Linked DNA regions of Drosophila melanogaster. The protein of the gene in region 1 interacts with the protein of each later gene in a pairwise test. Each region holds a gene or a part of one and is shown in the gene's direction. Other genes may lie near its edges. The genes, in order: IscU, Calr and Hsc20.

Evidence for each region.
Region 2: the proteins of IscU (region 1) and Calr interact in a two-hybrid assay, tested with the Drosophila melanogaster proteins (one large-scale study listed by BioGRID).
Region 3: the proteins of IscU (region 1) and Hsc20 interact in a two-hybrid assay, tested with the Drosophila melanogaster proteins (one large-scale study listed by BioGRID).

What each region holds. Positions count from the first base shown.
Region 1 is NT_033777.3:8,822,288-8,826,013, reverse strand, and holds IscU (Iron-sulfur cluster assembly enzyme), read left to right. Parts: upstream 1-1,836; 5' UTR 1,837-1,942; coding exon 1,943-2,029; intron 2,030-2,212; coding exon 2,213-2,590; 3' UTR 2,591-2,753; intron 2,754-2,944; 3' UTR 2,945-3,165; downstream 3,166-3,726. Other genes in the region: CG8379 (uncharacterized protein), read right to left, coding at 1-381, 606-1,062, 1,125-1,326, 1,406-1,459; CG8369 (uncharacterized protein), read right to left, coding at 3,232-3,290, 3,348-3,545. UniProt on the Drosophila melanogaster protein: Scaffold protein for the de novo synthesis of iron-sulfur (Fe-S) clusters within mitochondria, which is required for maturation of both mitochondrial and cytoplasmic [2Fe-2S] and [4Fe-4S] proteins.
Region 2 is NT_033777.3:9,628,086-9,632,675, reverse strand, and holds Calr (calreticulin), read left to right. Parts: upstream 1-1,824; 5' UTR 1,825-1,910; coding exon 1,911-1,998; intron 1,999-2,122; coding exon 2,123-2,227; intron 2,228-2,235; exon of another isoform or gene 2,236-2,421; intron 2,422-2,495; coding exon 2,496-2,968; intron 2,969-3,060; coding exon 3,061-3,615; 3' UTR 3,616-3,985; downstream 3,986-4,590. Other genes in the region: SpdS (spermidine synthase), read right to left, coding at 1-299, 822-955; CG8319 (uncharacterized protein), read right to left, coding at 4,066-4,590. UniProt on the Drosophila melanogaster protein: Molecular calcium-binding chaperone promoting folding, oligomeric assembly and quality control in the ER via the calreticulin/calnexin cycle.
Region 3 is NT_037436.4:16,231,577-16,234,772, forward strand, and holds Hsc20 (heat shock protein cognate 20), read left to right. Parts: upstream 1-1,550; 5' UTR 1,551-1,619; coding exon 1,620-1,841; intron 1,842-1,893; coding exon 1,894-2,006; intron 2,007-2,066; coding exon 2,067-2,454; 3' UTR 2,455-2,589; downstream 2,590-3,196. Other genes in the region: PDCD-5 (programmed cell death 5), read right to left, coding at 1-12, 264-326; MED10 (mediator complex subunit 10), read left to right, coding at 626-747, 804-1,083.

The sequences.
Region 1 (3,726 bases):
ATGGAACAGTACTGAAATACGGCCACCAGCAGATTGGTGGGATACTGCGTAATGTCAATGATGGGTGCATTAGATAGATCCGGCACAGGTTGGGCCAGACTCAATGTGTTACTGGGCGAGGGCGGGGCACTGGACTCTGCCTGCGTGTGAGCCAGAGTTGTGATGAAGTTCCGATTCAGGTGCACTGCCTCGTAGAGGGCAAGTAGAAGGCCATTATTCGCCTTGATCTGCTGCACCCGTTCGCATCCTTCATCCGACACAAACATGTTGCCCACAATATTCGACAGCGACGAAAACCAGGAAGAGGATTGCACATTGTTAAGGCTCTGAATGTACTGGCGACAGAAATCAATTAGCGATTGCGATATCATTTGGCCATAGCTGGAATCAAGATAAAGTTCGGGTTACTATCGAAATAAGATATGCAAGCTCGTGGCAAGTTATCTGTTTGATGACGTCAGTCACCAACTGCTGCCACATAAAAGAACTTTGTGATTCAGTTTAAATATTTGATTACCCTCGATTATAAATTCTTTAAGCCAATTGCTTTCACATAAGTTGCCAGAAATATACATACATACATTACATTGACTAAATGGACTCACCCATTTAAAGCCAGCTCATCAGCGAGTATGGAGAGCTGCACCACATAGGGGTTAGTGGCTTCATGCTTGCGATAGTTGACCAGGATAGTAAGTAGGATAACGATGTCGTGTCCATGCTGGCTACGGAACGTAGGATCACTGAGTAGCCGAACAAAGGCGTCGAACATGCTGTGCATCATTAGATGCTCGAAGAGGGCGTTCTGGTTGACGTTATCCGTGCCCGTAACCAGAACCTGCAGCAGTTTGAGGCACATAAATCGAGCGTTTTCGGGCACATCGCCCAGGAGGATGCGATTGCAGTACTGCATGAGTAGCTTCAGCCATTCGTCCATCTTCTCATGGCCGAAGATCTCGTTTAGGATGTTTAATGTTGGTTCTGCGTTGGACTTCTTAAAGATCCCGTAGAACAGGGAGCACAGCGTGTGTAGGCTGTTGCACAGCCGCTTAGGATGATCTTCTGGGGGAAATCACGGATTATAGGTGGCTGGAGGTATATATTAATAGGTCAAACTGGTCTACCCGTGTCAAGCATTTCGATGCACCTCTGGAAGAGGGTGTTCAGGTTCGGTTTCACCAGCTGCAGCTGCTCGTTGTTGAGTTTGCCAATCTCATTCTCCAGCGCCTCGAAGTTCGGCTGCAGCAGGAAGAACTCGTTCCAAAATTCGGGACTCTCGCTGCTGGGATCCTCGCCCCGGCACAACAGCTCATATATATAGACCACCTGCAATAAATTCCAATTAGTCAAGCAAAGCACAAATCTTCGAGGGCGGAGCTCGTGAAATCCAGTGCTCCGGGCGAACCTTCTCCTTGGGCCGCTTGGTGGAGCCGCTGCCACTGCGCTTGCGAGAGGTCATGACTGGATGTGGATATTATTGACCTAGGGGACTAGTTTCAGAAACTCATAGTCTGCTGCTGTAAAAATATATCGGAAGTTGGCAGAATTTGTGGATGGGCAATAGTAAACTTTGTGATTGGGGAGTGACCATAGGAGTGAGTTTACAAAATACCTGGCAAGCTGCCAACTCAGAGTGTGATTTTAAATGCAAGAGGGTGCTTTATTCAAGCTTTTTTATGGCTCATTATTGATAAAAACAATTTATTACTTATAGTAAATAACTTATTATACTGAACTGTTTTTAAGGAGTAAATAATAATAATATAAGAAATCTTTTAAAAAATCGAAAACATATCGACAACGGCGTTAGCTGGTCTTTCACATCTGCCTTAAAACGGGCACACTGTCCATCAGCTGTTTCTAACACGCAGTTGCCTGTGTTTTTTCGATCTCTTTGAATTTCACAACAATTCTTCATTAAATTGATTTATTTAATTTAAATATGTCCCTGGTGCGAAACTCCTCCCGGTTGCTGCGATCGCAGCTGAAGCGCGTACAAAGTGTCCCGGTGGCATTGTATCATGAAAATGTAAGTTAGAACTCGCAATTGCCGCGCGGAAGGTTCTTTCGTAATATCTAGAAGCTGTATAATATAGATAAGAAACGACTTTGTTGTCGTTCTGAAAGACAGCGTTTCAGGCGGCACGCAAAGTGATAAGCGCGATAGCACAACCCCCTGGTGACTAACACACCTACCTATTTTCACCCACAGGTCGTTGAGCACTACGAAAACCCGCGCAACGTGGGATCTTTGGACAAGAAGGATGTCACTGTGGGCACCGGCTTGGTCGGAGCACCAGCCTGCGGCGATGTGATGAAACTGCAGATCAAGGTGGACGAGAACGGCAAGATAGTGGACGCCAAGTTCAAGACCTTCGGCTGTGGATCGGCCATTGCCAGCAGCTCCCTGGCCACCGAGTGGGTGAAGGGCAAGTCCATCGACGAGGCCGGAAAGCTGAAGAATACGGACATCGCCAAGGAGCTGCGTCTGCCGCCCGTCAAGCTGCATTGCTCCATGCTGGCCGAGGATGCCATCAAGGCGGCCCTGGCTGACTACAAGGTCAAGCAGCAGAAGAAGGTGGCCAACTGAGAGGCGGAACGGAATCTGTGAATGTAGTGGAGCGTTTCTCTGAACAACTACTAAAAAAAAAACAACTATAAGTACTCTACCATACAATACAATACCATATACTATATATTACTTGGCATTAGGTCGTAGTATGCGATTATTGTTCGCTAGAGCTCTGTGAGTGGTGAGTCAAATGGTATGGATACAGTGAATGGTGGTTAAGAGGAACTACATACATATTTTTTAATAATATGTATGACAATGCAAAATAATCCTCGTTTATTGCCTATTGGCTAGTTGCTCTTAACACACTTTTACTGAAATAATAACAATAATAATCATACCAACTGATTAATGCTTTGATTTTGATTGCAGATTGGCCGCGTGACTGCTGATAAGTGCATAGAAGTTTAGGAATCGTCTGTCATTGATACTAAAGGATAGCTGGAACTGATCTTGTATGAATGCATATGCACGTGTGTGTTTTGTAGGGGAATTCTAAGTAGTCCCGAGAGCTAATTAAATTTTCCGTTCTGTTATGCGAAATACAAGCTTGTGTCGAAAACAAATAAAGCGTTCCCGTTGGAATAAAAAATACATGAATATATTATTGCACAATCAGTGAAAGATGTTTAATCGTCAAAAGTGTTGAAATTGGACTTCTAGGACAGGCGAACGCTCACTCCACCGCCGCACTCGCCCTTGGACTTCTGCTCGAATGCTGCAAAAGGATTAAATCATATTTAATTCTGTAAGGATATTGTAGAGGATCTCTTACGATCGTCGGCATGCTGGCAGTTGTAGTTGGCCATGACGCACGGGCTGCCAAAGGTGAGGAGGCGCTCCTTGCTGCTGTTTTTGGCCTTGGCACAAACGGGCTCGTAGACTTCACCGCAGTTGTGCTGGCAACTGTTGGTGGCCGGCTTCTTGGTGTCCTTGGCCGGAGTAGCCAGGACGAATGCCAGCAAGCACAGTGCTAAATAAGTTTGGTCATGTTAAAATTCTTAAGCCCGCTCAATTATGTTTGTTTAAATGAAAACTAGATAAATATGTATTAGTACTTTATTTAATTTAATTGCATCACCGTTCGGAGCAAATTATATTTTTGTAGATCGGAATATAATTCTGTCCGTGAGATCATTCATTTGGGCTTTTGG
Region 2 (4,590 bases), 810 kb from region 1:
CATCGCCAATGGTAAGCTTCAACTTCTCGTTGGCGAAACCACAGGCCATCGCTGGGAGATATTGCTTGGACAGCTCGACGACACGGTCGTCGATTTCCACCTGATGCACTTCCTCGACCAGTGGATGCTTTACCACCTCGCGAGCAACGCCGCCATCGCCACCGCCCACGATCAGGACCTTTTTGGGATTGGGATGGGCGCAGAGCGGCAGGAAAGATATCATCTCCTGGTACGAGAACTCATCCCTGGCCGTGCACTGAATGATTCCGTCCAGAATTAGGCACCGTCCATAGGTTTCGCTGTAATAGAATTATCGAATTATTGATTTTTTCAGCGGCGCAAGTGTACCCAATGTTCGACTGGAGGAACTCAAACCTGAAAGACGAGCTGACTTGCTATCAGTATTCTGTCTGTCGTTTTTGGCCCTAGATGACTCCATCGATAAGGCTGTTGGTGCAGATCAAGAATAAACACACGAAAACCAAAGGGTCCGAAAATGCTGGCTGGGCAATTTGTGTTTGAACAACCAGTGGAAAATTTTCGATTTCTACAATCTATGATTTAGGGACCTTCAATGTAGGATACATATGGGATTAGGCTATTGTAGGTTAGTCCTTAAAATCTCAACAGCTTAAGCTGTTAAAAATTTCGGATTTGTGTGACTTGCGTGTTTATAATGATTTTAATTTAGTTTTTTAATCTCAATCTAAGCTAATTTATTTTGACATCTATCTTCAAACTTCAGTCTAGACTGAGGAATTTCGGATGTAAACAAATGGGGTTGTGTGTCCAAGTATTTGTTTATCTATTATTTATCTTACGTTTCAACGATCTGGATGTCTTGGAACCGGGACTTCTCCTTGTGGATGACCTCCTTGACTTTCAGGGAGAATGACTGACCGGGCCAGAGATCGGCCTGCAGTTCGCTGAACCATCCGTTGTTAAGGGAATCCATTTGTTTAATGCCGCATTCGAATCGGCGTTTGATAAGATTGGCTCAACACGTGGGCTCGACACGAACTTACCGTATCTGCCACAAAGCTAGGTCTTAAAAAATACCTTAGAAGGTCTATTGGTATAAATACCAAAGCTTTTTTGTTTTAATTAATTTAATTTCACTTTTCTATTTCTGGCTATTTATCTTTTTTATTAATATAATACATTTCCAGCGAAAATTGTAATTTTTTAATGTAATAAAGTCAAATGTAAAAGTTAGCACTTATAGATAAAAAAGTTCCTAAAATTAACGAAATACAGGTGCAAAGTTTTGGAATTCCTTTATTTGTTTTTGATTTGTATTATAATGTATAATTAACATTCTAACTTTTTAAATACTATGAACTTTATCGGGTGAAAACTTAATTGTTAACATGTGATGTAAGTGTGAGTTAAAATTTTCAAAACCCTTAAGCCGTTAAAAAGCTTAGGAATGTTCTGGAAGCACAACTGTTCTTCCTGTAACTACTACAATTGTTAAGTAGTAGAAGAATTGTTATTGGAGTAATTTTATGTTTTCTTAGCTTAGCCTGCTGCAAGTGATTAATTGTATGCCAGAATATATTAATTTTATATATTTTATAATTTAATTTAATTAGCAAACGGTCACTTTAGTGTTTCTAATTCCAGCTCAAGCAATCGATAGCGACAGGGCAGCATGCGATTGCTTATCGAAATCAGCCCTGGCCGGTGAAAAAGAATACGTAGACATCCCTGATTGGCCTGATTTGGGCCAATGAAAACGTTCCAGCAAACCAATTTCAGTAACAAGCCGTCCCGCTCCGACACGCACGATTTAGATGCAATAAATAAATAGCACTTTCTTGCCGGCATTTAGTACTTAACTTTAACCGAGTTCGGACAACCATCGGAGTTGGAAGAGTCAGTCCAAAAAGTGGTGCGGGATCGTTCACATGATGTGGTGCAAAACAGTGATAGTGTTGCTGGCGACAGTCGGCTTTATTAGTGCCGAGGTTTATCTGAAGGAGAATTTCGACAACGGTAAGTGGTAGTCATCGCGTTCTATGGCCGCCATGTGGTCCTCCGCTCCCCTTCAATGAATAACGAAAGGAGAGACAATAAAAATAGAAGAATAATAAAAGCACTCCCCCGCTTGTTCCCGTAGAAAACTGGGAGGATACGTGGATCTACAGCAAACATCCTGGCAAGGAGTTCGGAAAATTCGTCCTCACCCCCGGTACCTTCTACAACGATGCTGAGGCCGACAAAGGTAGCGTATATGTGTCGATGTGTCGTCACTCCCTTTTCCAAATCTTTCTCTTCGCTCGTTCTGCCATTTTTATTTTTCGTCGGCGTGTTATCTGCATTTGTATGTGCCCGTGTATGCGGAGAACATGGGCACGAAGAAGAAGAGGAAGAAGAAGAAAAACCACTACGTGTACGTTTTCGAGTAGCTATAGTAACTGTATACACATTTTTTCTCGCCCCCCACCTCCGCGCGGCGCGCATTCGTATTGATGTGGACACACATTATATAGGCATTCAGACCTCTCAGGATGCTCGATTCTACGCGGCCAGCCGCAAGTTTGATGGCTTCTCCAACGAGGACAAGCCCCTCGTGGTGCAGTTCTCCGTGAAGCACGAGCAGAATATCGACTGCGGCGGCGGCTATGTGAAGCTGTTCGACTGCTCCCTCGACCAGACCGACATGCACGGCGAGTCGCCGTACGAGATCATGTTCGGCCCGGACATCTGCGGACCCGGCACCAAGAAGGTCCATGTGATCTTCAGCTACAAGGGCAAGAACCACCTAATCAGCAAAGACATCCGCTGCAAAGATGACGTGTACACCCACTTCTACACGCTGATTGTCAGACCCGACAACACGTACGAGGTGCTCATCGACAACGAGAAGGTGGAGTCTGGCAACCTGGAGGACGACTGGGACTTCCTGGCCCCCAAGAAGATCAAGGATCCCACCGCCACCAAGCCCGAAGACTGGGACGATAGGGTAAGTTGTAAATCCCCGCCCAAATCAGACTTTAGCCCATCGAAAAACCGGTTTGGCTCATTGTTATTAAACAACAACGTAAATCTCTGTAGGCCACCATTCCCGATCCCGATGACAAGAAGCCCGAGGACTGGGACAAACCAGAGCACATTCCCGACCCAGATGCCACAAAGCCTGAGGATTGGGACGATGAGATGGACGGCGAGTGGGAGCCACCGATGATCGACAACCCTGAGTTCAAGGGCGAGTGGCAGCCAAAGCAGCTGGACAACCCCAACTACAAGGGCGCCTGGGAGCATCCCGAGATCGCCAATCCCGAGTATGTGCCCGACGACAAGCTGTATCTGCGCAAGGAGATCTGCACCCTGGGCTTCGATCTCTGGCAGGTCAAGTCCGGCACTATCTTCGACAACGTCCTGATCACGGACGACGTGGAGCTGGCCGCTAAGGCTGCTGCCGAAGTCAAGAACACCCAGGCGGGCGAGAAGAAAATGAAGGAGGCCCAGGATGAGGTGCAGCGCAAGAAGGACGAGGAGGAGGCGAAAAAGGCTTCCGACAAGGACGATGAGGACGAGGATGATGACGATGAGGAGAAGGATGATGAATCTAAGCAAGACAAAGATCAAAGCGAACACGACGAATTGTAAGGACGTCTAGGGAAAATTACGTCGAGAAATATTCGGTATTTTTTGTGTGTTGGTAGCTGCTTTGATGTTCTAAGCAAACGGAAACCACAATTACAATTTGTAAGACTTATAATTTATAAACATACAACTTGTTGTTTTTTTCCATTGCTCTTTTCGAGCGATTTAAGGGTTGTTTAGCTTGTTTATCAAAATGGTGGTGCCACGTGAACAAATCACGGCCGAATGGCAACGCTGTCTATATCGTCGTGTCTACATCGAATTTTGATTTACAGAAAAACGGTGTTGCCACTCCAAATGGTTTTCAAAGTGCTGTTCGAATTCTACGAAAATATAAATCCTAAATTCAATTAAATCCCAATATGAACTATAGAAACAATGAGATATAAACATAACCGAATCCTAATTTATTTATTCGAGTAAGCCGTGGTATTTGGTCAAGAATTTAAGGTATCACTTTAGCTTTAGCTTTTGATCTCCATCCCGATGCTTGCCCAGAAAGTGCCGCTTCAGATGATGTTTCTCCCGGAAGTCCTGCAGGCAGATGGAACACTTGTAGGGCCGTTCATCCGAGTGGCGTCGTCGGTGCTTCGCCAGGTTATTGTTGTCCGAAAAAGTCTTGGGGCAGTGGGGGCATTGGTAGGGCTTCTCGCCCGTGTGTATGCGGATGTGGACCTTAAGGGCCTGCTTGGAACGGAAGTTGGACACGCAGAAGGGACAGGCATGCGGCCGTTCGCCCATGTGCGCATGGATGTGCACCTTGAGGGCCGACTTGTTGAAGAATCCCGTTTGGCAGTATGAACATTTGTGGGGTCCGTTTCCCTGTTTCGATTCCGCGTGGATCAACAGGTGCGCCTTGAGGTTTTGTTCGCGAGTAAAGGCCTGCTGACAGTGGGGGCACTGAAAGGGCGAACGCTCCTGCATATCCTTGCATTTGTGGCTGTCCAGGCTCTGGGTGCTTGAAAAGACCTTTAAGCA
Region 3 (3,196 bases), on another chromosome or scaffold:
ATTGCCGCCGCCCTAAAAATAGGAAAAAAGGAGTTAAGGTCATTGAAGGATTGCCCTTTAAAGAAACAGGTGTCCCAGTCGAGAAGGATGACTCATAGGGAAGGTGTCTATAAGAACTAACAAAGCATACCATTGCTAATGTATTCTTAACATTTTTATTATATTTTATATAGTCTAATTTGCTTTCATTCCAAGTTATGACTATTTTTGGAATTCTCTAGAGGAATCTAGCCGGTTTGGAGCCACTCAAATATTTCACTTACGAATTGCGACTGCATTTGGGACATGCGCTGCGCGCGTAAGGCATCCAAATCACTATCCGACATTCTGGGTTCTTATTCTCAGTATATTTATGGCAGTAAATTAAGTAATTATTGCTTTTTTTGCTTCTATAAAAATAAATCACGCTCTTTGTAGCAAAAAAAGTGTGCGATTGAACAGTGTGACCTTGCTATTCCTTGCTTATTCGTAAATCCGAATGCTCAAAATTGCGTTTGAGTAGCCCTGGTCATTCGGTGTTTTCTAGAAGAAGAAGAGTTGCGAAGAAAAATAAAATATTTGCCAAGGAAAACAAACATATTAACGAAATACCCACAAAATAAGGAACGAATTTGAATCGTTAAAAATGTCTGCACCGCTAGAGAACCTTGAGACCCAGCTAGAGATGTTCATCGAGAATGTTCGTCAGATCCGCATAATCGTAAGCGATTTTCAGCCACAGGGTCAAAATGTACTCAACCAGAAAATGTAAGAAAATGCTAAAATTTATTTGATCAAATGTCTATAAATATGTGCACCATTAGTAACAGCTTGGTGACCGGCCTACAAGAGATCGACAAGCTGCGCTCCCAGGTGCAGGACGTCTATGTGCCATTTGAAGTGTTTTTTGACTACATCGACCAAGACAAGAATCCTCAGCTGTACACCAAGGATTGCGTGGAGAAGGCACTGGCCAAGAACGAGGAGGTCAAGGGCAAGATCGAGGGCCTGAAGAAGTTCAAAACGAATCTGCTGCTGGAGCTGTATAAAACATTTCCCAATGAGATGAACAACTACCGCGCTTATCGCAAGGACTCCATGTAAGGACGTGCTCGAAGGACACGCGACCTGAACTTTAGATTGTAAGCCACATGTTGGAATAAATTTATACTTCTGTACATAAAACTCTGTGTTTCACTATCCATTAAGACTATATGTTGGTATACTTTCCTGCTCTTTGTCTGATATTTTCTTATGTATATATATAAAATGTTACTTATTAAAGACATTAATTTGTATATTTTTACCTTCCTTTTCTTTTTGCTTATATTGAACCTCTATCCTATTTGAACTTTATTAAATTGAATTGTTTCTATGAATAAGTTATACTATATTTAATTACTTAATTTCAATTAACAATTTTTAAGGTCTTACATTTTAAATAGACCAATGACTATTTAAACGTCATAAATGTCAATATTTAATAGTTAAATGAAATAGTTTAAAAAGTTTTAAGCTCGATAGTCGCAAAGCAGTAGCGTTGCCACCTTAGTTTCATATCAGCTGTTTTTTGTTATTATCAGCTTGTGTAATTAAAGGCTTCGATTGTGTATATCATTCAGTTAAATTTATTGTAGAAAATGAGTAGAGTTATTAATGGCTTTAAAAGTGCTGTAAAAGCTACAAATTATACACCGCTTGTTAGAAATGCAGCACAATTTAATCAATTCCAGTTGCCAGAAATACGGAAATTTTCAGTTGAATCTTCGCCGGCTTGTTGGAATTGCCAAAAGAAATCGGAATTAAAGCAGAATATGATATGTTCGGACTGTGGACACTTGCAGGATGTTAACTCAGGAATAGTTAGTACTTATCTACATTTTATTTGGCTAATTTAACTTTTAGTTTCTGTAGAATTACTTTAAACTGCTCAGCTTTCCCATTCAATTTTCTTTGGAGTCCCAGAAGTTGACAAGAAGTTTTCGCCAGTTGCAGACCATTGTGCATCCCGATAAATATAGTAATAAGTGGGTATAGTCATAAGTGATAAAATCAGGAAGGCAACGATAAAATCCCCTTGTTTACAGAACCTCACGGGAGCAAACAAACTCCTCAGACTGGAGTTCCCTCATCAACAAGGCATATAAAACGCTTTCCACGCCCATAGATCGTGGTCAGTACCTTCTTCAACTGGAGGGCGAACAGATGCCGCAGGATAATAGCGCTCTTAACAAAGAGTTTCTCATGGCCATGATGGAGCGGAACGAGGAGGTGGAGGATGCGGAAGACACCCAAACGCTGGAGAATTTAAATATTCAGCTCATCAAGGAACTGGAGGAGATGGCCCGGAAGTTAAATGCCCTTTTCGATAGCAAAGATCTTTCGGGAGTCAAAGAAACCCTCGTAGAGATGAAGTACCTGCTGAGTATTCAGAACAGCATTAAACAGAAGCAACAAAGTTTGCTGGGCAGCTGAATTGGCATTAATCGACTTGGCAATCGGTTCTGATCGCACACACACACGTCCGCCTGTTGCTATCTATCAGCTGTTAAGTAAACAATAACACAGACTTCGTTTGTTTTATAATGTGAATAAAAATCGCGACTGAACAGTTATGATCGATGCAATTAGTTAATTATCCAATAGTGCCCGAATAAAACAGGTTTTTATCCAACTTTCGATGGAAGCCCCAGGAGTAATTCCCCTTCTCATTGAGCACCCTGTGCCACGGTCACAATACTTTGGAAAAAAAATATAATCAATTAATCGCAGTACTATCTGCTGGACTCAAGTCGCCAGGGGTACACCCCCCGAAGGCCCTAGAAATCACACATCGCAAACTCATGCCCACGCACACAGCCTGAGCCATTTGTATAGGTGAGGAAAATCGTCGCACCTTATATAAATTCAAATCGACTGTTGCCTCAGCGGACAGTTCCTATTAATTGGTCACCGAGGTTGGACTCACCTGTGCCCTTGCCAAGACTTCCCGTTGGGAAATACTTCTGGCAGCCGGAAAACTTGCGAATAATTAAAACAACAAGCTAAGAAAGAATTCCCTGAGAAAGCTAGCTTACCGACTTAGCGTGTTTTTAAAGAATTACCTGTGGAATAATCAATAGCTCATAACAAGGTACTTAGGAAACTGAAGATACCTCCAACCGAACCAAAGAAAAACGGATATTTCGGAAGATAAAATACTCGTTTTAAGATCTAA